Schizosaccharomyces pombe: one gene and its partners. The gene in region 1 interacts genetically with each later gene. Each region holds a gene or a part of one and is shown on either strand. Other genes may lie near its edges. The genes, in order: swd3, tma20, mms19 and mcl1.

What was found.
Region 2: mutations in swd3 (region 1) and tma20 together harm fitness more than expected from each alone (negative genetic interaction), as found in Schizosaccharomyces pombe (2 studies listed by BioGRID).
Region 3: mutations in swd3 (region 1) and mms19 together harm fitness more than expected from each alone (negative genetic interaction), as found in Schizosaccharomyces pombe (2 studies listed by BioGRID).
Region 4: mutations in swd3 (region 1) and mcl1 together harm fitness more than expected from each alone (negative genetic interaction), as found in Schizosaccharomyces pombe (2 studies listed by BioGRID).

What each region holds. Positions count from the first base shown.
Region 1 is NC_003423.3:546,467-550,729, reverse strand, and holds swd3 (Set1C complex WD repeat protein Swd3), read right to left. Parts: upstream 2,367-4,263; 5' UTR 2,061-2,366; coding exon 918-2,060; 3' UTR 501-917; downstream 1-500. Other genes in the region: SPOM_SPBC354.04 (uncharacterized protein), read right to left, coding at 1-434; translocon alpha subunit Sec61, read left to right, coding at 3,764-3,773, 3,818-3,885, 3,939-4,051, 4,108-4,140. UniProt on the Schizosaccharomyces pombe protein: The Set1 complex specifically methylates 'Lys-4' of histone H3.
Region 2 is NC_003423.3:3,768,225-3,774,772, reverse strand, and holds tma20 (RNA-binding protein Tma20), read right to left. Parts: upstream 1,477-6,548; 5' UTR 1,466-1,476; coding exon 1,455-1,465; exon of another isoform or gene 1,401-1,454; coding exon 1,248-1,400; exon of another isoform or gene 1,193-1,247; coding exon 1,095-1,192; exon of another isoform or gene 979-1,094; coding exon 774-978; intron 715-773; coding exon 657-714; intron 636-656; exon of another isoform or gene 582-635; coding exon 561-581; 3' UTR 501-560; downstream 1-500. Other genes in the region: histone chaperone Hip1, read left to right, coding at 1-416; protein Cwf4, read left to right, coding at 1,716-3,740; armadillo-type fold protein, zf-MYND type zinc finger protein, Mub1-Rad6-Ubr2 ubiquitin ligase complex Mub1, read left to right, coding at 5,796-6,548. UniProt on the Schizosaccharomyces pombe protein: Involved in translation.
Region 3 is NC_003424.3:3,854,953-3,864,047, reverse strand, and holds mms19 (TFIIH regulator Mms19 ), read right to left. Parts: upstream 5,831-9,095; 5' UTR 5,626-5,830; coding exon 5,157-5,625; exon of another isoform or gene 5,114-5,156; coding exon 4,971-5,113; exon of another isoform or gene 4,925-4,970; coding exon 4,821-4,924; exon of another isoform or gene 4,776-4,820; coding exon 2,484-4,775; exon of another isoform or gene 2,418-2,483; coding exon 2,369-2,417; 3' UTR 2,330-2,368; downstream 1-2,329. Other genes in the region: signal peptidase subunit Spc2, read left to right, coding at 544-1,047; protein Sil1, read left to right, coding at 1,313-2,329. UniProt on the Schizosaccharomyces pombe protein: Key component of the cytosolic iron-sulfur protein assembly (CIA) machinery that mediates the incorporation of iron-sulfur cluster into apoproteins specifically involved in DNA metabolism and genomic integrity.
Region 4 is NC_003424.3:3,281,139-3,289,328, reverse strand, and holds mcl1 (DNA polymerase alpha accessory factor Mcl1), read left to right. Parts: upstream 1-3,576; 5' UTR 3,577-3,583; coding exon 3,584-3,775; exon of another isoform or gene 3,776-3,820; coding exon 3,821-3,972; exon of another isoform or gene 3,973-4,030; coding exon 4,031-6,134; 3' UTR 6,135-6,325; downstream 6,326-8,190. Other genes in the region: cts2 (chitinase), read left to right, coding at 1-528; DNA-directed RNA polymerase III complex subunit Rpc82, read right to left, coding at 873-2,582, 2,662-2,727; SPOM_SPAPB1E7.01C (uncharacterized protein), read left to right, coding at 6,624-7,115; SPOM_SPAC652.01 (BC10 family protein ), read right to left, coding at 7,526-7,745, 7,815-7,921. UniProt on the Schizosaccharomyces pombe protein: Has a role in regulating DNA replication complexes. Acts as a regulator of post DNA replication initiation. Associates with chromatin during G1 and S phases of mitosis. Required for the transcriptional repression of the outer repeats of the centromeric region.

The DNA of each region.
Region 1 (4,263 bases):
TTGAGCTTATCATTAATGAATGTCCATCTTTTCAAGGTATTCTCTACCAATCCGTCAGCACGGGGTAGTAGATTCTTGCCTACGACCTTGGGTGCAAACAAATATGGAATTAACATAGGGTGTGGAAGAGGCGTTAATATCACCAAATAAACAAACATTAAGTTTTTATCATAAGGATAGGGCTGTACGGCGGATAGAAGAATTTGTTGAACATGATCAAAGTCGAAGCTAGTCATCAACTCAATTCTGTTTACCACAGTATCCGTGTCTTCATCTAACATAACACTGTAATTCTTAACATCTAAGGGGATCGCTTTAGCACCTACTGACTCTAACCTTCGGAGCTCCTCTTCAACTTTTTCAGCAATCCAACTTTTTGCTTTCTCGTCAACCTGCAAACTGTCCAAATCCTTATGTGCTGGGTTTTCACTCATTGAAAATCAGGTAATACGTTTTTTTCTCAATTATTTTAAGTTTGACTCGGCCAAATGATTTAATTCGAAAAAAGTTTTACCTTATTAGAATATCAGTAGTGGTAAAGGAATAAATATTAGGAAAAAAAAGTAAAAAATTTATCTCCCTTTAAAATCTGTCGAATTAAACTAGATGATGAAAATTAGTAACAAAATGAATATAACTGGTTTAATAAACGAGAAAAATTAGAAAAACCATCAATTTCAGGATATCAACTTGGCCGACATTCGTTCTTCGAGAAATCTTCTGTAAAGAATAATCGAAGACTGTATAAATTAATTTTATCTTCTATGTATCGATCCACTTAAGTTTTCATAGGCCAACTAGCCTTTGGATTGGAAGTAAGGAGCTTGTTTTCGCACGTAAACCTTTAGCATCATTATCTTCATCGTAATTCCAAGTAGTTTCTTTAAACTTTATACATTATTTGTCAACAATTCAGGTTAAGGTGAAAAGCCATCTTTCTCGTGCTTCGACAATAGAAGAGAAGGAGCCCAAACTCGTACATAAGGATCAGTTCCTGATGTGATTATGAAAGGACCTAAACTGGTTACATTTAAAAGTGATGTTTCTGGATCATCGGAATGCCTAATTGAATCGTCAATAATTATTTTTGTACTCGGATCTGTAATTTGGATTGTTCCATCTTCACTAGGAATTAAAAGATAAGCATCGTGCATGAAAGATTCTGCATCATCAGGGTAGGAAGAGTCATTATTGGGTAAAGCTTCAGTATTTTTAGGAATATTTTTAGAAGAATAGCAATCCCAAGACATAGAATATCTTGTATTCACGTGGCTATCAAATATTCGTACCACACGGTTTCGGCGATAATCCCAAAGACGGATCTGTGAGTTAAGATTACTTACAAGCAGATATTTTCGATTTTCTGTAAACTGGAGATTAGACAAAGGAACATTAATGGGTTCAACTAATGTTTTTAAACACTGGCCACTGAGAACATCCCAAATTCGTGCCATTCCATCATAACTAGCAGTCGCACATAAAGTTCCGTCAGCTGATATAGAAACAGATATAATAGGTTCTGAATGTGCAGGTAGCATCCTAAGGCAAGTTCCATCTTGAAGATTCCATATACGGACAGTCTCATCCCATGATCCTGACACCAAAAGCGTGCCCAATGGATTAAAGTCAATTGATGAAACGTAATTTGTATGACCTTTTAAACATCTCACACTGCACCGTTTTTCAAAATCCCAAATCCTTATGGTCTTATCGTCAGAAGCGCTAGCTAGATACTTACTACCAGTTGCCCATTTTACTTGAGATATTCCTCGGTAGTGGCCGAAAAGTGTACATTCAAGTCGAAACGTAAGTGCGCTCCAAATCTTTATAGTTCCATCGGATGAAGAGGTAGCGATCCATCGTTTGTTAGGGGAAACGCTGACACATGTAACACTTTTCTCATGACCGAAAAGAGTACAATATTCAGAGAATCCTGAATGTGATTCATAATTGCGAATGCGCTTATGTATTTGCTCCTCATCTTCCTCTACAACACCTTTCTGGTCTTTTTGTACTTGCAGGTCGTGGTTCAAAGGAAATTGTTGAGCTGTGGAATCCATCTTCTAATATACGATATGTGAAAAATTATCAGACCGATTGTTTGTACTTCTCGTAAAAATGGACTAAAGACAAAAATCGTATCAGGAAGTATTAAAAGGTTTATTGAATGATCTCAACAATCATAAACAAACGCCTTTGTCTGATAGTAAAATCGATCAATTTATTTCCTCTTTCTAGAGTCTATGTACAAGAAAAAAAGTTCATGGGCTTTTTGCATATGTAGATTATAAAATTACAATGATGCCAGTCAATTTTTTAAGCATCCAGCTTTATTGTATGCACAAGCAGTAACTGGTGTGGACAACGAAGTGTATAACATTCAACTAGCAACATACCACAATAATGACTATTTAAAAAACGCTTTTCTTTGGACTTATATTAAATAACTCAATAATTTGACTCGTCTTCAATAAAGTTTACAGGTTCATTTTCCTCGCAATTCACGTCGAAAACTACTCTGCAAAGGATATTCAGGAATATTGTCATTTTTAAGCCATTTAGTTCAAAGACTTAATAAATGGAAGTTTACTACAAATTGTACAATAATTCACGCATTGAAGTTATGAAAAAGCTTAGGGAATGAAGAAGAACGACTAGGCTCCTTTTACTGAAACGTAAAGTTTACAAGGAATTAATACAAAAACTTTTTTCTGATATTGCTCACTAATTTGACGAGGGTTCAATACTCTTGCGCTAAGGGTACGATCTTCGTACTGAGACATATCCTTTGAAGTTTTGTAATCTTCTAGTCTGTGAGTAGGCTAGTCCAATTTCTCTCCGGCCTTGCATTCATGAAGCTCCTGCTTGTTTGAAAGATACTAAAAAGAGGTTTCCTTATAATGAACCAAAATACGTTCTTTGCATAATGTCCTCATTCAATTAATATTGACTTTGATAGCTCCTTCGATATCAAGTTTTCCATTGCTTAAAGTTCTCAATAAGTAGTGTCTGTGATTCATCTCTCAACTGACTTCGAATGAGTCAACTCATAACTTTCAGAGTGATGCAAATAATTTAAGTTAAAAATGTTTCACTCTCGTTTGTCCCAAAGTTTTTTTATCCAGATAGCTGTTGTTCCACAGAAACATCTAAATCACGTGGATAGTAATTGCAAGAAAGAGGCTAACACTTATGAACAACTAGAATTACTTGTTGAGGTCATGAATTGGTAATCAATTTATTTGATCCAATCTCCCAATTACAAATTGGTAAAACAATATTGTGTTTTCATTTTTTGGTGAAACAGTTGGCATCTTAGATCGGTACACATATTAAGCCTTTCATCATAGCCTTTAGTTCCCTTCTTATTCCATATTAAATTAATGATCTTGATTTATTAGTCAACCTTGTTGCCTGGGTCGTAATGGAAATCGCATCTCCTTTTAATCCCTATGTGAAGTAAAATCATTTCAGCAGTTATTATTTTGAATTTTAATCGGCTTAAAAAACTTCTCTAACGCTTGTTAAATGGGCAATTCAGGCATTCATTACAGCTTCAACAAATGTTTATACTGGTATTATAGCGTATTTATTAACTATATAATGAAACGAAATATTTACTTGTTATCGCATTTAAGTGAATAGTTATCTCCATCGTTCTGCTGCCTTAATTTAATTCACCACCAAAACCTCAGTATGATACTTCACTGTCAACAAGAACCAGCAAGTTTAGTTGGGCAGAAATCTAATTAAATTATACAATATGAGTGATTGTAAGACCATGCTTTATTTCTTATTGATTTCTAACACTATACAGTACGATTTCTGGACCTTGTAAAGCCTTTCGCGCCATTCTTACCGGAGATTGCTGCACCCGAACGAAAGGTATGTAGCATATGTATCTCATAAGAGACATCGAAAGCTAATATCGAATCTAGGTCCCTTTCAAGCAAAAAATGTTATGGACTGGAGTCACCTTGTTGATTTTTTTGGTTATGTCTCAAGTACCATTATATGGAATTGTCTCTTCAGACTCTTCGGATCCTTTGCTGTAAGACTATTATTTTTGTTTAAATTTTAATTTTCTAAAGCTAATGACTTTTTCAGCTGGCTACGTATGATTTTAGCTGCCAATCGAGGGTATGTTTTTAAGAAATATGGATGAGTGAAGGTATTGTAACCATCACTGACAAGAGATTACTCTTTAACTTCCTTATTTTTCATTTTTTAAAAAATGTGTTTATGCATTTACTAACCATTATA
Region 2 (6,548 bases), 3.2 Mb from region 1:
GTCAGCCGCTCAAAATATATGAACACCGAACTAATAATGTTTTAATGGATTCTGGAAGAGGAAAACTATTACAAAAAATGGTAGCTGATGCAATCACTGAAGAAGGTTATGATGATTTTGAGACCATAGTTACTATTAATCATTTAGAAAACAAAATCGCTTCTGCTCGATTACTTAAGTTGGATGATGAGTTTTTAGTAACAAGCGAAGTTTATGTCAGACTATTAATGCATCATGGTCTTTGGCAAAAATTGGAGGAATTTTTAGGAGAGCTACGAACTCAAACAAAATGTTCAATTAAATTATCAGGAAGAGAAGTTGTTGCAAAAATGTTAGTGGTTTTACGACAAGCAGTACAAACTGATAATGAATTTGATCGTGCAAACAAATTAATAGAAAAATACGCATCAACCTGAAAAAAATTGAGGCTATTTTAAATTTGACTTTTCTTTCTTGCATTCTGTTTAAGTCTAATACAATACTCATTGGAAAAATCTGAATAGTTTTGAAAGCAAAATAATGCATTAATTTTATTCTTTTAATGTCTTATACTATAGATGTTATTCTAAAATAGTCTTCCACTGTGAATATTAGTTAACATTACATTCCAATAAGCAAGAGGAAATTATAAATGGTTTAAAATGTAAATCACATACCAAGTTGTCGCCAAGATAATGCACATTTTCTATGCCGATTCCTTTATTAGTCTCTTTCCTAAACAATTCAAGCATGTTAGTTAATAGTTCAAGTTATGAGTGTCAATAGTATATTACATTTCTTTAGCAGACATTTTTGTAAGCCCAATTGCAGCAGGGGCTTCCTTTCCCTCAGCTGTAACAATCACATATTGATCTTTTTCGATGTCATCAGGCAAATTGCCGCCTTTGGAAACCAAGCCAGGAATCATAATATTGGCACCCGAGAGAAGGAATTTGATAGCTCCTCTGTCTACTCGAACTTGAGTAAAGGCATCCGGACCTAGGCGTATTAGTATATATTTGAACTAAACACAGATATGTTGTTGTCGATTCTGACCAGCTAGACAAAAACCAGAACTCCAATCAAACGTTGCGGTTACGTTAGCTTATACTCACATTTATGAACAAGACGAAGAGAAGGAATGATAGGGCCGTCGAAGTGCTGGAAAAGGATAATTTCGCCATTCAAAGTATACAAAAATAAACGATCCTCACTTAAACAATATCAGTACGACATACTAAAAATCACGGATGCTGATAAGAACGAACCATTTTATTTGAGTTAGTTGTGATTTTTTGGGAATTAACTCATCGATAACTTGTTTTAAGTTAGGATAAGCTTGTACTAGTTTTGCTTTTATTCCTCTTTGAATAGAAGACTTGATTGGAGTAGTTCCCTTTATATCTTCTCTAGAGTTAAATCTGTTGAGGTTAGCAATCATCCTACAAAATTATAAATCCAATTTAGAGCAATACCGTTTGAACATATTATTGAGTATATAGGAGCTGCAGACCATTGCTACAATAAGTTACTAGGTTGTAGCCGCGGTCTCCTCTCGGATGATCCGCGGTGTTGCCGATTACCACCTCGAGGGTTACAAACGTTAGATATATTCATTCATATTTGTGCACGTTTTTGTCTTCTAACAGTAAAAGCCAACTGGTTAAGAGAAGACATAAATCTAGCATATTATTTATTGAGTAATTGTACACTATAGAGATCCAGAATAATATAAGATGACTTCGGAAGCGCCCAGGGTAAAAAATAAGAACCCAGCACCCATCCAAATCTCAGCTGAACAATTGCTCCGAGAAGCTGTAGAACGACAAGATGTGGCGTTTGTTCCTCCAAAAATTAATATCACTGATCTTGAGGAGCTTCAAGAATTTCAAGGTCGAAAACGTAAAGAATTTGAAGATGCCATTCGACGGAATCGTCTCGCTATGGGCCATTGGATGCGATATGGTCAGTGGGAATTAGACCAAAAAGAATTTGCGAGAGCTCGCTCTGTTTTTGAAAGAGCTTTGGATGTAGATTCTACTTATATACCGTTATGGCTGAAATATATTGAATGCGAAATGAAGAATCGAAATATCAACCATGCCAGAAATTTATTTGATCGTGCTGTTACACAGCTTCCCCGTGTTGATAAACTATGGTACAAATACGTATATATGGAGGAAATGTTAGGAAATATCACCGGTTGTAGACAAGTATTTGAAAGATGGCTTAAGTGGGAGCCTGATGAAAACTGTTGGATGAGTTATATTCGAATGGAGAGGAGGTACCATGAAAACGAACGGGCTCGTGGCATATATGAACGATTTGTCGTTGTGCATCCTGAAGTAACGAATTGGCTTCGTTGGGCTCGTTTTGAAGAAGAATGCGGAAATGCTGCAAACGTTCGCCAAGTCTATTTGGCTGCTATAGATGCTCTTGGTCAGGAGTTTCTGAATGAACGGTTTTTTATTGCTTTTGCAAAATTCGAAATTCGTCAAAAGGAATATGAACGAGCTCGCACCATTTTCAAATATGCAATTGATTTTATGCCCCGATCAAAATCTATGGAACTATATAAGGAATACACTCATTTTGAAAAACAATTTGGAGATCATTTGGGCGTTGAGTCTACTGTGCTCGATAAGCGTCGATTACAATACGAAAAGCTATTGAAGGATTCTCCTTATGACTATGACACTTGGCTTGATTTGCTGAAGCTCGAAGAAAGTGCAGGGGATATTAATACTATTCGCGAAACCTACGAAAAAGCTATTGCTAAGGTTCCTGAAGTAGTTGAAAAGAACGCATGGAGACGTTACGTTTATATTTGGTTAAACTATTGCTTATTTGAAGAGATAGATGTGAAGGACGTTGACCGCGCAAGAAAGGTTTACCAAGAAGCTCTCAAGCTTATACCCCATAAAAAATTTACATTTGCCAAATTATGGCTCATGTATGCAATGTTTGAGCTTAGGCAACGTAAGATTGATGTTGCTAGAAAAACGTTGGGTCGTGCGTTGGGAATGTGTCCAAAACCAAAATTATTCCGAGGTTATATTGAATTCGAAGACGCAATTAAGCAGTTTGACAGGTGTCGAATTCTTTATGAAAAATGGATTCTTTATGATCCCGAGGCTTGTGCTCCCTGGCTTGGTTACGCTGCCTTAGAGACTAAGCTTGGAGATAGTGATCGTGCTCGCGCTTTATATAATTTGGCTGTAAACCAGCCTATTTTGGAAACCCCAGAGCTTGTGTGGAAGGCTTATATTGATTTTGAATTCGAGGAAATGGAATACGGAAAAGCTAGAAGTATTTACCAGCAGTTACTACGGACTGCACCTCATGTTAAAGTTTGGATTAGTTTTGCAAACTTTGAAATTGCCCATCTGGAGGACGATGACGAAGAACCACCGAATGAAGAAGTGGCTTCTCCAACCGCTGTTGTGCGTGCGCGAAATGTTTTTGAAAATGCATTGGCCCATTTACGCCAGCAGGGTTTGAAGGAAGAGCGAGTTGTATTACTTGAAGCATGGAAACAATTTGAGGCAATGCATGGCACGGAAGATACACGTAAGCATGTCTCTTCACTAATGCCACAGGTTGTTAAGAAACGCCGTAGACTTGAAGACGGTTCATTCGAAGAATATTTGGACTATCTGTTTCCGGATACGGCGACTGATCAAGGAGATAAGATGCGCAAAATGCTCGAACTTTCGCGAAAATGGAAAGAGGAAATGGCTAAAAAGAAGCTGGAGGCCTAGATTACATATGACATTTATTGGCGCTATCAGTTTAATATTTAGTAATCGTGTAAAATATTAGTAATTAATTGTTTACGAGGCAATGGGTCATGTAAATGGACGTTGTTACGAAGTTGAGGATATTCAGCGCTTTGGACTGTTCGGATAATAATAAAATAACTGTTTTTGCATTTGAAAGGCCGGAATGGCGCGTAGAAATAAGACAAGCAATCCATATTAGTATTATTAACCTTGAGTTTCGATCTGAGTTTACTTACTAAGCAAGATAAGCGAAAAATTTATGGATATTATGTTGAGGGAATCACACTTGTAGAAATGAGAAAGTTGTAAACATGACAATTTTGAAGAATCCAACGCAATTCGTAAATAACACATTAAAATACAATAAAATGAAAAATCCAATCCAAAATATATTTAATATGTACATATTTATATTTATAAATTGATTGTTCTTTACCTTGCCCCATTGACATACGATCGAGTATCTACCAGTGCGACTAATTTTAGTTTTGTTACTCAAAGTGGCAGGACTCACAGGTAAAGAAGCGGCTGGTTTGGAGTTGTGCTGATCTGATGAACTTGTCAATCAAATGAGATTACAAAATCTGACATTGGTTATTTTCAGCACTGACAGCTTATTCGGACCGGTTTACCCAAATGTTCTGCTAAAGTGAATTTACAGAATACAAAAATCGGCTTATGCGACCAACGTATTAGGCAACATTTTGACTTAAAAGAAAAAATTCATACACAGATTCTGCTAAAAACTTAAAGACACAAAGATGTTCGTATGAATAAAAAATGACTGACTATAGTGAAAGAAATACCAACTGTTGCTAGTTAAAGTTGCAGCAAGTTTTTTGAGTTATTGTTGCCGAGATGTCGATCTCTTCAAAGGTAACATCCAGCATCAAAGATCGCCGAGAGTTCCCAACCATTATAGCCAGTAACAACCCAGCATACTTTGCGTTATGGTGCCTTAAAGGTACGTTCACTGACGATCGTTTTCAAACTCGGTTGACACTCGGGTGAAATGAAGTTGCCTTCTGTCAACTGCCACTTCCAAGAATCTGAATAAGAGAACGAGGATCCGGGAAATTTTCGTAAAAAGAATTCATTCAATTAAAATTAAGGGACTTGCAAAAACTATTTACTGTGGTTTTTAAGCTAAATCCTTGCGATTATAAGAAAACACTTATTCTTTGTTTATCAACAAGGCTGATTTAGCTTCACCACCGTTTTCCTTTTCCAAATCCTAACATTTTTCTTCGAACTTTACTTTTTTAATTGATGCAAATCATCTTGTGCTATTCTCTCTTCTCTTACTCTTGTCAGCTGTGATTTGATTTTCCACTAATCTTGTCTAAAAAGGTACTGAGCATATCCTTTATTTTTATTTTCAAGGTTATTGTGGTTTTCATCAAACTATTCTTATTCATTCTCTCTTTGTATCTTCGTTAATCTCGGGTTTTTTTTGTTTGCCACTTCTCTCTTTCTTTAGCCTCGTGATTTTAGCAGACCCCGGGTTACAACTTTTTCGTTGTTATACTTCCTATTGTTGAACTTACTTGATCTGTGTCGCTTCTCGGCTAAAAAAGTGCCCTTGCTCCTTACTTCCTTTTTCTTTTAGTATTTTTTTTGCTCCTTTATCAGTTCTTGACTTCAAGCTTGAGCTAACCGTAGTCCCTTTTACGTTTACTCGTTTTGAAGAATAATTGGTGTAGATTGCTTAAAAGGATTTCAAATTCGGCGGGACTTAAAATCTGCGAAAACAGTAATTTTTATTTTTTTTCGTTTTCGTGATTTTGGGGCACTACTTATTCTTCCTGCTATCGGCGTTTGTTCTTGGTTTTTCTCTTCGGTTATTGCGTTTACACACAGCAGTTTTGAAAATTATTGAGTAAAATTTTGGTATTCGAAAACTGCTTGTCTTTAACTAAAAAAAATATTATCACATCGTTCGTTTTACGCCAATCTTTGCGTTTGCCAGTAATTTATACTGCAGCAATTGTCTTTAAAAAACTTTATACGTGTTAAATATATTATTAAAGAAAGATGAGGGAATCGAACGTTAGCATCGTATGGAATAACAAAGCTTCTGTCACTATCAATACAGTCCTTTATGATCGACGTGCGCTTGACTGTGACTCCGAAATGTCATTAATGAATTCATTAAGCCATCTCGTTTATTTGACTTCGACTTCACCGAAAATTCGTGAGATCCTTACTATGGATGGTGGTTTGATGCGTTTAATGAATATTTTACGTGCCGGACGTGGACAAACATTTGCCCGAATGACAATATGGCAGCTAGCTCTTCAGTGTGTCGTAAATGTTGGGATACGTGGGTCTGAAGCTATTCGAATTCGTGTTGTGGAAGCTGGTATCGTTCCTATTGTTGTCACCCTTTTAGATGATTTTTTGTTTGCGCTTGAGTCCGTTGTTTCTCACCATTCTCGATTTCAATTTTCCCTTACACCTTCTACTACCCCTCCTCCATCATCCGCATCTGCTCCATTCCCCATTAATTCTAATATTAGCAATTCTCTTGATTCTGTGTCTCAACACAATTCATCTGCTGACTCTTTGTTCGTCAACGGTGATGTACCATCTCCATTTGGAGCTAGTACGGCAAGCTCTAGCTCTAGAAGAGTTTATTCGGTGGATTTACGGGATAGTGGAGATGTCCAACTTCCAAATCAATCTACGTTTCGACATTCCGTGAATCGTGATTTATTGGGATCAAGCTCTACCACTAGTCATGATCGATCCTCCGGCTCCATTTATTCAAATGATTCATTTCAAGAT
Region 3 (9,095 bases), on another chromosome or scaffold:
AAAAGCGAGGAATATGTTCATCGAGGGATATCACTATTGGAACAAACAGGTTTTGCGAAAGGAAATATCAATATTGTACTCCTCTATTTTTTTACTAAACGCCAAGTACTGCTACATTCAAACAACATTTTCCATTTCATAATCCTTTTCAACAGTCATTGCGATTGCAATTCTGATATTATTATCGAGACAAGGAAATGAGCATGATATTTTGTACCAAATTAATTTGTTATGAAACCCTTCCGCCAATTTCTATTGAGAATCCATATATATTTTTTATTTGGCTATTATTTCAAATTTATGGCTCGTTGTATTTGAAAGAGCATGATAGTATTATAAAGTACTTAGTAATCGACTGTTTTGCTTTCGTTCCAGTAGCGGAGTTCATGTTTTTGCTCTCAGGCATTTATATTAAATATTAAAACATCTTTTAGGTTACTTAATTTTAAAAAATCATCATGCCATCGTATCAACGAAACCGCATATCTGATCATCAGTAACTACAGCCTTGCTTCCTCTACCATAATTAAGCTAATAGTAAAAATGCCAAAATATAACGTTTCAGATTTCAAATCTAAATTTGATAAAGAATTAACAAACCATTTTAACAAAAATGGTTATAAGCAATCCTTTGTATTTGAAGATATTCGTTTGCTGATCGCAATAGCTTGCATTATACCCGCCGGCCTCGCATTTGGCATTGAGTATGTTTATGGTTTTGGTGTTTTAAAATCTTACTTAAAGTATCTTTTACCTTTATATTTCCTAGCTTCCTGCTTGCTCACATTTTGGTCTTCTGTAGTCAAGGGTAGTACTGTTTATGTTGCTACGAAAAAAGAAAGACACATCAAAATTTCTGCGGATACCTTTTTACCTTTGAAAAATAAGCCTCTAATCACTACTAAATTTACCGTACTCAAAAACAGAAATGCTGTTCAACTTGAATGGTCGGTTCCTGTTGCTCACATTTTTGAAGAAGATGGCCAAATATCAAGTGCAACTTTTGAGGCGGAAATTTCAAAGTACTTGTCTCAAATTGAAAACTGATTGAGCTCAATTTTTTTAATCAATTCTCAATTTGAGTTGTTGCCAAAAAGCGAAATACTCAATTACTACATTTTCGTTAGAAGGCTTCCATGCCTGCCACAACGTCCGTATCGTATTCTTATTTTTTAACATGAATTTTATTGCTACGTTTTCCATTTACCAGCGGCAATTGCCTAATCATGCTATGGATTTTTTTTTCTTGAAATCTATCCTACCATAAACCACTCTCTAACAGGAGTGAAAAAATTGGAGATTAATCGGTTCAATGTTTTCGATTCTGGGAAACTCGTCTAAAAAGAAAAGAAATACTCAAATTTACAGAATTTTTTTTACTTTAACATTCTCTTTGTCGAATCTATTTCTTGCAATATGTTACCTTTTTTTGAATGTGAGGACTGTAAGCTCAGATTCATCTGTTTCACTTTACGATAGACAGTTGTTCGATCAGTCATCTTCTGTAATTTTAAATCCTGATACTTCAGACCCAAGCATTGTGTTGTCGTCTTTAGAAACAATGCGTGATTTGGCTCATGATATAAAATTTGGTCAGGATGTACTTGAACAGCCTCTGTGCGATCAACTTTTTGTTTTGATGGATGGGAAAGACTATCCAAATACGATTCGTTCAATGTCGTCTGTTGTTTTGGCATCAGCGCTTAGCAATAATTTCATAGCTCAGAAAAAGGCTTTAGAAATGAATATTATGCCAAAAATTGTGAACACTTTACGGCAGGAAAACCACCCAGTTACATTACTGAAGAAACTTTTCCTATTAAGTAAATCTGTCCAATCTTTTCCTTTATCTGAGGCTTTCATTAGTAAAGATTTAGGATCGGCTATTCTTCTTCAGTTGTATGATTTTTGGTCGAGAAACAGCCATATTGATATTCCTTCTGCTTTTCAGGAGAAACTGCTAAGTAGGTTGTCCATCATCTTTGAAAATATTGCTCGTTCGTTGGAAAATGTCAATTTTAGCAAAGCTTCTAAAGTTATCCCAATAGAGTGGGTATTTTCGACTTGGTGTAGCATCTTTCAAAAGTACTTGATGAATAATTGGCATTTACGCTCAATTTCAACGCTCGAGGTTCTACTTAACACCGTATCAACAATTCAAAGTGTTAGTGAGAGTTGTCCCGAAGTTAACTTTTATGAATGGTTAAACGATAAAAATTTGGCGTACAAAAATAAATTAATTTATCAAGATCCAGATCTTGCTACTGAATTTAATTTAATTATAAAAGAAGCTTTATCTCTTCCTTGGCCTAAAAAATACAATATTTAACGTTTTTATTTTTCAAAAATGACTTATCAAAATCTCTCTTTATATATACCACTTATGACGAGTTCGACTTGCTTCAGTCCTTACAACCCTATATTATTCATTAGCATTTTGTAGTTAACAGTTATTCTTTTCACTAAAAATGAATGGTTCTTACCTTTTAGGATCATCCAAGCATGGTATGAGTCCACGAATTACTTTATCTCTAAATAGTTGTAAATTCGTGGTAGGAGTAAACTCTGGCAGACTTCCAAGACACTTAAGGGCTAAAAGACGAACAACAGTTGGATTATTCATATCCTTAGGGATTGCCAAAAGCGAAGGAATTAAAGTATCAAGATATTCCGTCAATAATGAAGTCAATTCTTTAACCGAAGTATGTATAACGTTCAACGTCGAAAGTTTAACACTAATATCAGACAGTGAAAGACATTGAAGTAGAAGTGGAAGGATAGATGGCATATCTGGAATTACAATTTCTTTTGGCACATTTCCTATCACATTAGAAAGAAGCATTAAATACAAAGACTTTTCTCCTCCAGTAGCAGTTGAAATGTGTTCTAAAATCTTAGGACTAACACTAGCGTAAAAACGTTGTTTGTATAACAGCTTTTCGACATATGAATTCTCCTTGGACAACGCAGGATCGTCTTTGATAATTATTGAAAGTGCCTTGACCGAAGAATCTCCGACATTTTGTAAATTCAAAGTATCCAATAATTTAAAAGCCAAAGGAATGCCCTCGCTATGCTTTCTAGAGACCAAAGCTTTGTCAACCCACGCCAGCACATCGAGTGCAGCTTCAGATTCCTTTGGAGTTCCAGTATAAACTTTATCCCACAAAGACGTGACTCCCTTCGAAGATATAAAACTTGATATATCTTCGTCTTTTTCACATTTGTTAATAAGCGAGGATATGAGACGTAAAGCGCTAATTTTAACGCCAGGACTTTCCGTAACAAAAACAACATTTATGAGTAAATTCAACAACTCAATATTCAACTTTTCGATAAAATGTAATTTTTTACTCAATCCATTAAGACCACCCTGTAATAATACCACTAAATTTAAAAATTTCTGATCACTTAAAGATGCTGCAAGCGTAAATCTTTCTGCAGCTTTTTCACAACCTTCAGTTTCAATTAAGTCGGAATTGGAATTCTCCATATATAATTTCCATAATTGACCAACAAACTTTTCTTGAAATTCAAAATGGTTTACTCTCACTATCTCATTTATTGTCTGTGATACATAAATAAGGCATCTCACATTCATTGACTCGCAATTAGCGAAACAAAGGGTAAAAAGTTGCTTCAGTAGTTCTTCAAAAAAGAATGGAATCTCTTGTTCATTTCGATCATTTCTTTCCTTAAAGGCAACGGATAAACTTTGAACAATTGATTCGACAAGATCAACACTCATTTCCTTGGATTTAAATTGATCTTTCAACATCTCAACAAGTCTGATGACAAGGGCCTTAAACAAACTCCTTTCTTCAGATATTGAGACTAGTACCGATAAATATTGCTTAAAAGTTTCTTCAGAAGATGACTTAGCAGTAACATCATCAGTTAATTTTGAAAATGCGAAAGGAAATGAAGTCAAAAGTAAAAAGTCGGGCTTTAGTAACCCTAAATCCTTCAAACATTCTGTTGCCTTTTTCTTAATAGGATCGGAAAAGTCAAATGCTATGTCATCCAAAAATTGAAGTACCATGGTTAATTCACTCTCTGTTAGGAAGTTCTTGATCGAAGCCATTAAAAAAATAACCTTTAAAGCCAACATGCGTATTTCAGTTTCATCTTTGGCTGTTCCCATCAAGGAGCCTGATACAAAACTAAGTTGCTTGTCTTTGTAAACAAGTAGCGGGTTGTCAATATCAGCCTGGTTTTTGCTTCTCCACTTTCCGTATAAAAGTACCAAACATTTATAGACGTATTCCAAAAAAACTAGCATCCCTTTTTGTTTCTCCAATGGTTCATTTACCATTGGTAGATCGAGAACACTGGGTAAAAAATTGCATGAACAATAATTGAATGTTTCCACAGAGATAGAAGCCAAGGAAGCAAATACAGCTGCACAAGATCCGCAAGATTTAACATTAACATCTTCGAGTAAACGCTGTGATAATTGGATCAAAATCATATCCACAAACTCTGTGAACGAAGATGAAAACCCTTCCTCTTTATAAAATTTACTAGCTAAAGTATTGAGTGCACCAAGCGCCAAATTTTGAAGTTCAGCATCTGTCGAATTTAGTATTTCTTGCTTAATAGATTCCCAAAAGTCTTTAGCAGACCATAAATAAGCACCCACGCGCCAAGTTTTGCAAGCTTCTATATAAATGTTTAATGCATCGATTTTTATGCGAACAGTTGAAGCCTTCAGCCTTTCAAATAAAGCAGGAAGAAGTAATTTTGAAAACGCGTCGTTAGCAACCAAGGTTTCTCTACAAAGGACGGTTAGCAATAGTTCACATGTCATGATGCCTTACCGGAGAGCTATTTTAAGATCGTCGCTAGTAATAGCCAAATTGGTGGCATCAGGCGGAGCACGGAAAGTGATCGGGAAATAACAATAAGTGATATCAAAGAATTGCTACATGTAAGTAATTTCATTAGGCGATTAACAATGAGATCCATACCTGTTCAAATCCGTCAATGGGGAATGTAGAAAGTATTTTTTTAAGCATAGAAAAGACCAGCATAAGATTACGAGGGTCTTTCTCACCAGCAAAAGTTGAACAAATTCCAGAGAAGAAAGCATCGCGAGTTTGTGAAGAGATGACTGAGAACTAAGTTAATTGATGACTCTCCAAAAAGATCCTTACAGAAAAGATAATTATCTATAATGGTTTCAAATACTTTTAAAATGTTTAAACGAGTTGCTTGAGCATATTTTGGCATGTCAGTGGAACTGAAGAGAGCCTTACAAACATCCACAATCTTTTGAGCAGGGAAGTTTTGCATGTTTAGAAGAGCTCCAATACCTAACGCATTCTCCTTCATTGTAACTTCATCATCCAAACGACTCAAGTAAAACTGAAGAAGTACAGATACATGTTTCGCAGGAAGTCTATCTTTAGGAAGCTCACCTAAAGTTTGTGACAGTAATAAAACTGCTTTTGCTCTAACAGAGATATTGTTGTCAGTTAAATACTCTCCAATTGAAGTAACCAAATCGACAATCCCCATTCTGTCAGTGACAATTTCTTCGACAATTCGATCTACAACGTCGTTTGCCTCATCCTGACTTCTATCAATAGAAAATAAATATAAAGCCACTAAATTCGAGCTCATCTTCCTCAAATTTAATATGTACTATTATGCTAACAATTTTCTATACAATAAACACTATAAGAAAAAACAGAATTTCAAAAATTGAGAAGCAGAGATTAGAAACCTTGTCCTCTTTTTCGAAGCTGACTTTCTTCTAGCTAGTAGGTAGACGGCACTCTTCCTCAGTAGATCGTTGAAACGTCTCTCAGAAAATGTGGTTAACAATGGCAAATTGCAAAATGTCATTTGCTATGTATGCTTTCTTTACCGAAGCGAAGTTAAACTAATTAAAGTATTTAGATAATCTGATAAGAATTTGTGTAAATTAAATTGCTTAAATCCATGAATTAAAGAAATTAGAAGAAAGATCGGATATTATTTTCTTTTTTTAAAAATTTGTTTCTTTTTAGCAAATCTCTACTTCAAGATTTTACAATCATACACAAAAACCTTTATTCCATCGTTATATATAGTCACTACATATTAACGATCCTTAAACCACTGCGCTATGTATTCCCTCTCTTACCAAAATTTGAACCGACAGCAAAGTAAAAAGAGGATGCAAAGTTTTAACATTTACTTGAGAAATTGATCAATAAGCATATAAGTATTTAATATAATTATCATCTTAAATTCTCTGTTAGTCCTGGTATGGAAGTTTCGGAGACAGACGAACATCTTACTCGTTTAAACCAGGCTCGAGATATTGTTAAAACTGATCAAAGCCTTTTTCCAGAAATCGTGAGAAACATTCTTTCTGTGGCAAACTATTCTGATATAAGGTATAAAAAATGGATGGCAAATTTCCTCTGGTTTGGATTTTCGAGCAAAAATGTTAAATTTGAGCAGAAATTGGATTTAGCTGTAACTTGTCTAGATACAATTGTTTCTCTGTACGCAGTAGATAATGAAGAAGTTAAAAAAGACGTTATATCTTGTTCTTGCACAATCTACCCACTAGTATTTCTGCACTGTTGTACTTCACCTAACGATTCATCTACCTGGGACACTTTAACGAAGCTAAAAAACGAAATCATTAATGACTTTGACAAAGGGAACAAGCCTCTTTTAATTTCTTGTATTAAATTTATTTCTTGTGTAATTTTAACGCAAGTGCCTGGGATTCGAGATCCCCGTCTTGTAACTAAATCGGACGTGTCTCTTTCTAAGGTTCCCACACATCATCCTTTTATCAATTCAAATATCCTCAGAATAGAAGCAAATGACTTAATTGAAAAAATATTTTCCATCCTTTTCTCGGATTCTTTGAATGTCCTTTACATTACTAGCGTTTTGAATATCTTACCGGTTTTGGTGAAGCGACGGAAGGAACTAGCACCAAAAATCATAGGAAGCTTGTTAGAATTTCATCTTCCGAATCCAAAAGATGAAATTGAGCTGTCGAACGAAAGCAAGTTAGCTATACGGTGTATTGAAAAAAATCTAAAACTTATTTTACTTCATTTAGCTAAGAGTACAGGTGCATCTTCTTCTTCCGTCGAAAAAATTCACGCTTATCTTTCCGGACAAATTTATCATACCAAAGTCGATGAAAGTTTGAAGAAACGGCAATATGAGGGAAATATTAGTGCTGCCTCTAAGCGTGTTAAGTCTTCTGCTGTACAAAGTCTTGTAGAAAGAATGCAACCCCAACTTAGCTCTCACGATGGTTTGCAAAATAATCCCTTAATCAGCATATTTGCTTCACAAACTGCTATAAATCCTCTTGCAAATTTTGATGTAACTTCAATTCCGGTTGAAGTGGCTACTGAAATTGTACTTACTTCTCTTCTTAAGATAGACAAAAACTACTTTCATCAGCAAATTAATATGTTGAGAGAGAGAGTGCGCTCTCTCTCTGAGCCTGAATCCCTTGGTCTTGATCAACAAGTTGATGAAGACGAGGACGAGGATTATGAACCGCCTGAGGTAGATGTTCAGACTATCAATGCTAGTGTAGAACGTGAAGCAGCTCGACTAGAGGGAAGTGCTCCCTCCAATGTCGTTACTGATGCGTTTGAATTACCCACTCCAGATTCGCTGTCCCCGATGGCTATTCTAGAATACTTTCACGGTGCCTTATCCAGATTATTTGATTATGCTCCTCAATTTGAAAGAAGCATAGTTTCTTCTTCTAACCTTCAAAATTTAACGTTGGAAAATGTGGATAATACGGTATGGGATAAGCGTCACTGGGCAATTCTCTTACCACGACTTTGTACGCGAGGCTTATTGAATTATCAGCCTGTAACGTCTGGTGAGGAATCTGGAGATGCTTCTTTCACTTTGTCTTCATTTGTTCGAGGGCAGCTTTTTACTTACGTTGCATCTAACTGGCGTTCCAGTACAAATTTAATATTGAACTGGTTATCCGAGGAATGGTATAATGATCGACTAATGCTTGAAAATCCGGATTGTCATGAATATGAGGATGTTAAGTGGGAAGGTCCACAATATGAAAAATGGGCCCTTAAAGTAATAGACAGCATTTTACCATACTTAGAGGCAAAAGATAAAGTTTTTATGATATTTATGTCTGAATTGCCAGAACTCACCGATGCTATAGTTGACAAAATTAAATTTGTATGTCTTGATCCCGATAAGACGAAGCTCGGTTTCATGACTTTTCAGTATTTAATAATGTTTCGACTAACCTGTACGTGAAAAATGCCTTGATATTCTTGAGACGATGTGGAAAGAGAATGTAGATGTTAAAGCTTCCGCCGCAAAGCTTTTGAATCGTTGGCGACCGTCGTTTTTGGAGTCTGTGAAATCAGAGGAAACGAAAGAGCCTTCCGCTACAGATAACACTTCCTAGAAAGCTTGTTTTTCCTGGGTCGCAGTGGGATTTCATTGGAAAGCCAAGGAGAAATAAAAGCTAAATGTTTAATGCACCATCTTTTGATAAAATAAAGTTCTGTTCATACCTAGACAGAAAAAATGTATCTGTGGCTAATCACCACTCTGTTTATTGGAGTTTTTTGGTATATATGCAAAATCTGTTCATATACTTCATTTAATCCTGCATTGGAAATGAGAGTAATCTTTCAATATTTCTTAACATACTTTACATTCATATTTATCTAGCCAGCATTTAGCCCTCTGCTATTTATGTAATGCTGTTACTTATAGCAAACGTTTATAAAAACTAAGTCTGTATAAAGCATAAATGAGCCCTTAATTTTTGGCGCACTAAAATTTAACTATTTATTATACAAATCTCAATTTTCATCGATGATAGAATGGCATATTTTATTATTAAAATAAACCATGGTCTTCTAAGAGTGGGATGTAAACTAAAGAGAAAGACTTGTTAAAAGTAAATTTTTGTGTCTATACACATAATGTAGAATAATAATCATTTGTTCCATAATTCCATAATTATACTATTTTCTTCAAATCTTGGCATTCATCTAAATGATTGATACACCCTCTTAAACCGTTTATCGAGTCCAACTGAGACTTACCGTGCAATAAATGAATGCTTTAGG
Region 4 (8,190 bases), on another chromosome or scaffold:
ACTGATTCTTCAACATCTTCTGTGGCTACTGCTTCTATAACCGGTTCTTTATCATCTTCTATAGCTACCGCTTCTGTAACCGGTTCTCCAACGTCTTCTGTGACAGCTGTTTCTTCTACATCCTCTGTAGAAGGCACCGCGTCTTCTACAATTGCTGCCGCCGCATCCGCAGCAACATTATCTTCAGATGCAGCATCAGGTTCGTCCACAGTTACTTCTTCCGCTACCGCTTCATCAAGTTCTTCTGCAGCTACAACGGCAGACTCTAGTGTCACAACTGATACCCCAAGCAATGATTTCAATGCAAACGTTGATACAGCTGGACTTTGGTATGTCTCAGCCCTTTCGTCCTATTCAGTCCCTGCAGGATTTGCCTGGACAACTATTGACGGATTTTCGGTTGTTATGCCATCTGCGAACGCCTATAAAAAGCGCAGTCTCCCTATAAAAGCAACTGCCAATCCAGCACTTAATGGAGCTGGAACATGGAAGACAATCCATACTAGTGCAACAACCACTGCCGCTTGAAGGTAAAAAGTCTACATGCGCATTGTTAATAGCTGGTCTATATCATTGCACATATATTTGTTATCTTTGTATTTAATTTATCTCACCTTTCTTTCCGTTTGATGCTCATTCATATGATTTATTTCGTTAAATCAATTACAATATTTAGTCGTTTATTTTTAAGAACTAGCATACTTTATATTTAATGCATTATAGACAATTGAATAAAAATTTTGAAACAAGCAGGTAGAAATAATAAAGCCAACGATCTATTTAAGAAAAGTAAATTTTACATCGATGATTATTTACATAAGTAAAAATGTGTTTAGTTAGGTGAAGCAAAAGAAGTGCCGAAGAAACCATTTTTATAAATTATCCCTAAATACTAATACCATATCATCTAACCGAGAAGCTTGTAAAAGCAGTTTTTCCTCGTAACTATACAACTTTTTTAGCTCAGCTTGCTCAAACTTTTGTAGATATTGTTCCTCGTTGCCTTTAATATCTATTCGTTCTGCCTTCTCAATGAGTTGAGCTCTCTGAGCTCGTGCATCTCGTAATCGCATATATAGTCTGGCAATTACATGATAAAGTTCATCCAAAAGGAGAGAGTACGCCCGATCAGGACGGTGAAACCAAAGAAAAAAAGTCTTGGAAGGGGCCCTGTCGGAACTACGCGGAACCTCTTGTAACTCTAAGGCTCCGATTTCTGCCATAGCTTGAAGAACGGTTCGTAAATCTCTTTGACGAAGGAGAGCAATATTCGCCAACTGCTTTTCCTCAATTTTTCCCTTATCTTTTATGATACGCAGTAAACGAATAGCTCTTTCCCCAAATTTTTGTTCTATAAAATTTTCATATTCTATGGCTCGCAGCATGTCGGTTAAATGGGTAAAATTGACCGCCCATTCACCCATTCCTCGATTGCCTATTTTTGAAATAAATTTTAATGAGCAATCTGCCAAAAGCTCCAGGTGTTGAGCCAGCACCTTGCTCTTGCGATTTGCGTTTTCATCAACACTTTCTTCATAATTATCTTCCTCAGCAAGTTCATCTAGTTCATTCAACTTTTCCATGACACGCAATTCGTTAGAGGCAGAATTTACGCTATACTGTTTATCGACAATCGAACTCTCAACGTCGATATCATTCGGAAAGTTTCTCGTAAGCTCCATTGTCGTGAGTGTAAAGACCGGAGATTGATTGGAAATACTAAATAATCTGGGTTCCAACATAGAAAGAACGTGAGAATAGACAAGCGAAGTTGATTTACCAATTCTTCTTTCCACCCAATGGGTAAGCCTGGCATTTTTTGAGAGGACAGAAAGTTTTCCTGAATTTATGCGAACATGCGCGGATAGATCAGGTACAAGGATGCTATTATCATCGTCTAATATATTATTCAAATCCGTTGATACAGACGGAGCAGAGCCAACAGCACGTTTCCTTCTTTTTGTTGGATGTGGTATTGATTCCTTTGGCTTCCTGGTAAGTCCTTGTAGTTCTGACATATCTGCTGCACGAAGCTCTAACATTTCCAAGGCGACAGAATCATCAACCTCTCTATTTTTTTTTATTTCAGACACGTTTTCTGACTTTCTGCGATCTAAGTGCTTGATCCGGAGTTGCATTTCCTGATCTCCTACTGGTATTAAATGTCTCGGTTGCACTACTAGCAAAAACTTTTGGTAAATCAATTCCGTTAGATTTTTCTGCATCATACGGCTTTCTTCATCACTCCCATCAACCTTTTTATCGAAAGCATTGAATACTTCGAGTACACGTGCACGTCCTTGGGTACTAAGATATTTTACCACAGAGGCAGCCTCCTGGTTTAATTTTTGAGATATCAAATATACATCTTTACCTTTGCGAAGAATGTTATAAATTTCCTTCCATTGGGTCTCATAATATGTGACTTCACGTACATTTTCAATGACCGTAACGTACAAAACCATATGATGCTGCATTAAACTGACAAGTGCTTGTCGAATTTTTGGTCCTGGCAACGAAGTCCGTTTTTGTAGCATGGGAATCGTTAAACGACCATGCCTCAAAAGTGCACTAGCTACTGCCTAAATTGACAATAAATTGGTTAATACAAAAGACTTTGCAACCTCAACTTCAGATTTAGAAATACAATTGAATCCTTACCGAGCAACAATCACCGAAAAATTCCTCTACGAGAATCTCACACAGTTCTACAGCATACTGTGACATGATCAAGCAGATTACCAATCTTGCTTGGAATGGTAAATTGTTTGGCAGACGTAACTACAAAAAAGCAAAGATTTCACAACCTAGAGTATGCCAATAGCCTGTATTTTGTGCGTCGTTAAAGCAGCGTTAACATTTATAGTGTATCACTCTAATACAGAATAAAACTTTAACGATGTGCAAAAACGATTTTCATATTACTTTTTGAAAAAATACATACATATAATTACTGCGAGTATTAAATGAATGATCGAAATCTAATTGTATGATTAATTTATTTAACTTCTTTTTAATTTTCCTGTGAGAGGCTCCACTAGGTTTCTCAATTCCATTTCCATGTCGTTGATTTTTTGTGGTTTAATCAAGCATGACTTATCTGCAGATTCTGTTTTATAGCTTGTCATGGTAAGCATTAATTAAAATACTAAAAGACAATAGCTAATTGCATATTTTTCCTCCATTTAGAATATTGCTGTGCGGCTGTTTGAACATTTATAGCAGACATTTCAAAACTTTTTAACAGAACTGCTCTAATGGAACATCAAATACAACTTCAGAGTAATTAAAAAAAGCTCTGAAATGATTAAAGTTAAATTATTCCTATAGTCTCACATATAAGTTACTTTAGTATTAATTTCTAATTGTTAGCAGATGATTAAAAGCATGGATTGCATATTTTCAATCGTACTTGCATATGAAAATAAATTGTAGACAAACATTTGCAATTTCTCAATAGTGCTTTCGTGGTAGATTTTTTATTTAAATGTTTGTTTACATTAAATAGCGTAACTAGCTAACGAAAGTATCGCTATTGCCATACTAGTCCCAATCTCATATACAAACTCTTCCTCTAGCTATTATGGCAGGGAATAGGCTAGTTCCTAGATATGCCCATACAGATGGACTGACGCGTCTAGCGTATACTCGTGATGGGAAATTTCTTCTTACGGTCGGTTCTAATCAAGTAATCCGAAAATTTCAGGTTGGTTCTGATGAGGAACCCGACTCCATTGATAATCATCAAGATCCTATAACAGGAATTGCAGTTGCTGTAAGTGGTCCTCAAAAAAGTTTGGAGCTAATGACTTTTATATAGGAAAATTATTTTTGTACTTGTTCAGAAGATGCAACTGTCTGCGTATATCCCATCGATTCTCCTACCGAGCATACATTGCTGGCGCGTACTACTCTTCCTATTCGCGATGTGGCATATTCAGTAGATGGAAATTGGATTGCCATAGCTAGTGAGTAAGTTTTTTTTAGTGTATAATGCTCTACTTGGTCGTTTTCAGCCTAACAAATATAGTGAAACAGCAGTGAAAGTGGTTTCGTCCACTGATTCTTCACAAATTTTCTCTCTTCGTCCAGCTAAGGCTTCGAATAAACATGTAACTTATAGCCCGAACGGAAATTTTTTAGCAGTTTCCAGTTGCAATGGAATTTTGTATTTTTATGACACCCAAACTCGTGAACTCATCAAGTTCTTAACAAACACTATTGCCTCTTTAGAGGCAGAATCAGAAATTTGCTCAAAGGCGGCTTGGCATCCTAAAAACGGGACATTTGCAGTTGCGAGTACCGACCATTTTGTATCAGTTATTTCCCCTGATGACTGGCTTCCATTGTACAAACTTCTTCCAAAAGAGAATCATTCTGGTGTAACAGATATCTCCTGGTCCAGTAATGGAATGTACATAGCTGCTTCATTTAAAAAAGGAGGCATTTTAATTTGGGATACACAAAGTCATGAAGTAGTCGTTGAGCTCCCCTATAGTACAGTGGTGGCACTCGCCTGGCAGCCATTTGAAAACGTGTTATCATTTACTACAAATCAGGGAATTTTGTATTCATGTCCGGATGTCATTCCTAAATCAATATTGAAGGAAGAAAATGATCCTACGAAGCCTTTGACTTCGTCAAAAAGTAAAAACCGTACTTCCAAAGAGCTTGATGATCTTTTTGGTTCTGACGATGAGCAAAGTCAGAACGTCAATGATTTGGATGGGAACTCTGCCAACGAGGAAAATGAGTTTATCAATCATGATGGATTGGATTCATCTTTGGACCTAGATGGTGATAGTTATATGGTTGATGAAAACGACTTAAACCTTGCAAAGAAAAGAAAGCAGAAGGCGTTGATCGACAGAACTACAACAATAGAGAATGGTTCTAGTAAAAGACGTTTACTGCAAGCCTCAATACATAAACCCGTTCATACTGGAAGTACACCATGGCAGGGTAATAGAAGATATCTATGTTTGAACTTGGTAGGGTTTATCTGGACTGTACAGCAAGATGCAGAACACAACACTATAACGGTTGAATTTCATGATGAAACTACTCATAGAAAATATCACTTTGTTGATGACCAAAAATTTGAAATGGCATGCTTAGATCATGAAGGTGCTTTGTATGCTTCGCCTGCAACGGAAAGTTCACCTGGTGTTATTTATTATAAAGCACATGTTGATTGGTCGCGTAAATCTGAATGGGCAATGGCTTTACCCATGGAGAATGAAAGTCCTGTGACAATTTCATTAAGCTCAAGCGTTGTACTGGTATGTACGAGTGCTGGATATGTTCGCGTATTCTCAAGACAAGGCTTTCCAATTAGCATTCACAGGAGTAAACACTTGCCATTTGTAGCTTGTTCATCTTTTCAGGATACGATTATAACCATCGCCAACGATGGTTTGAGCTCTGATGGAAATTCTCGTCTTGTTTATTCCATTGAAGACATTTCTCGTGATGAAATGTTGCAAACTGGTGATGGGGTTGCATTACCACCCCAAGGAACGTTAGAGAGTGTTTTCTTTTCGGATGTTGGAGATCCTTACATCTACGATTCAACTGGGGTATTGTTGGTATTAATGCATTGGCGCATACCAGGACAAGCCAAGTGGATCCCTGTTTTAGATACAAATGAATTGGAGCGTCGCAAATCACGGCAAGAGTCTTATTGGCCTGTAACTGTTGCCGATAATCAGTTTCACTGTATATTGCTAAAAGGAGCCTCTCGATATCCCTATTTCCCTCGTCCGATGTTTACAGAATTTGACTTTCGTATTCCTTGTAATACGAACAATCCGGATGCTTCTACATCTGTTCCTGTTTTAGAAGAACTACAACTCCGTAATAAACTATTTTTGACTTTATTGGAAGATAGCATAGGAGATGGCGATGTTACGGAGGACGAAAAAATAAGCATTGCTAGACTAGAAGCTAACATTGACAAAGCCTTGTTGCAACTTATTCAAAAGGCTTGTCTCGAGGAAAGAATCGAACGTGTCTATGAATTGACAAAAACTTTGAGAAGGACAACAAGTATTGCTGCTGCTCAAAAGATTGCGCTCCACCATTCCCTTACAAATGTTGCTGAAAAAATTGGTAATCTACTATCTAACGTCTAAACCCTCACGTCTTAATTTTTATGTAACATTATTTTTTGCATATTAGTAGCTTGAGCTAATCAAAAGGGGTTTGAAGCAAAGCTATGCAGAAGTTTTGTCACGATCTTGCTCCTTTCTAAATTCATTTATATAAGCATCTAGCACTTTGATTTTTTTCTCATTTTTGTATTTAATAAACACATTTCATTTTGTTTACCATATAACCTCTATGTTTATATGTCAGTATATTCGGCATATATTTCGAGTCTATTTAGAAATTGCACAGGGGTACAAAAAATTGATTCATAAGAAAAGGTGGAAACATTTTTTAAAATGACAAAGAGTCACAAAGGAATTTGTATTCTTTTCCTTTCTGAAATGAAATAAAATCTAATGTAGAAACTGCAAAGCTCAGTGCCTTAGGGTGCGTTACAGTTCGTAAAGTTGCAGACACTAAGTGCAGTACAACTTTGTAAAGTGCCAAGCTGCAAACGAAAACACAATTTTAGCATGGAACAAAAAGTGAGTGCGGATGTGTTATTGAATAAATATCAAACATCCATAAGCATCACAAAAAACTTAATCAATTCGTGGTTGGGAAACGAAAATACATCTGTCAGTAGCGATGAAAAAAATGACGATCCACCGTTACAAGCTAGGCCGCCACGGTTAGGGTTGGGTGCTAGTAGAAAAGACCAGTCAGAAAACAGCTGGGTTACTTCCAAAAATGAGAAATTGAAAAGCCTGCCACCGGCATTAAAGAAGAAGATTGAAAGACAGTTGCAGAAGAAGAAGGAAGCTGAAAAAATTGAAGGCGGCAAAAACCACGACAATTTAAAGCGAAAATTGAATAAAGTAGGCGATGAATTGAACGAGCAACAGTCTGATACTGATGATGATGATGATGATTCAAAGGCTCGCATTACTAGCCGATCGAAAAGAGCTAACGCCCAAAGTTCTGGCTTTGATATTTATAAAAAACTTGGGAAGAAAAAAAGGTGAACTTGAAAGAAAAGACATACATAAAATATTTGCATAAAAGGTTTGACTTCTGATTCATTTTGATCAAGAGATTAGCCTCAAGGAAATGGACATCCTATGAACCCATAAATAAGCAGCACTGGAGTATTTATGGCATTGCTATTGGTTGACGTGCATGAAGTTGAATCGAAATTTATTTTTCTGTGAAAAAATTTACGATCCTTAATCACATTTAGTGTTTACATTGGATGGGTCTTAATTTGGGTGCCGTGTTTACCTCTTTTCAATCAGGAGGGTTTTTTTTTTGTTTAGTCGGTATGTTAAGTAAATAAATTTTAGATAGGGACAGTTGGTAATATGAAAAGGCACACCTATTTTTTATGAATCAAGCTCAAGCGATTCAATTTTGTAGTGAAAGACTGACTGCACTATTATAATTTAATAGTGGCATCTAACCAAGGAATGTGAATGCTTTCCTTACCCGCTAGCCACCGAATCCATGAAAGTCGAACCAACCTGTAGCCGGCTTCTTTTAATTCCGTAGGGAATGCTTTTGTGTCGAAAATATTTCGATTGAATGAAAAAAAGGTTGAATCACTCCACAGAGTGCGTGTATTAATCAACAATCCCAGTATAATCATGCAATATGGACTGAAGCCTGTTAGTCAAAATCTCGTATGGAATGGACGGCTTGTTTATCAAACTGGTTGTTGAACTTACCATGGATATTTCCGAGCAATCATGGACAGCATAAAGATCGGATAGAAGAAGTATGGAGCAGCATTAGCTACTAAAAGCATTGGAATAAAATATCGTAAACATAGCATTTTGTACCAAGTTTGGTAAAGCAACAAGTTTTTGAAGGATGTAATTTTACACTATTAACGCCATTTGGTCACGTAACAATCCATTAAGACGATATGCCGTTTTGTGAAACCGAAGCGATAACTCGGAATTCAAAGATTTCGTAAGCGCTAAATATCGTTAATTAGATAAAAGTTGTAGATCCAGCGATCCTTTGGTATTGCAATGTTCAGTATTGTTTACAACTTCAGAAGCATATAAAAACTCTTTCGACTTAGATTACAATTAAGAT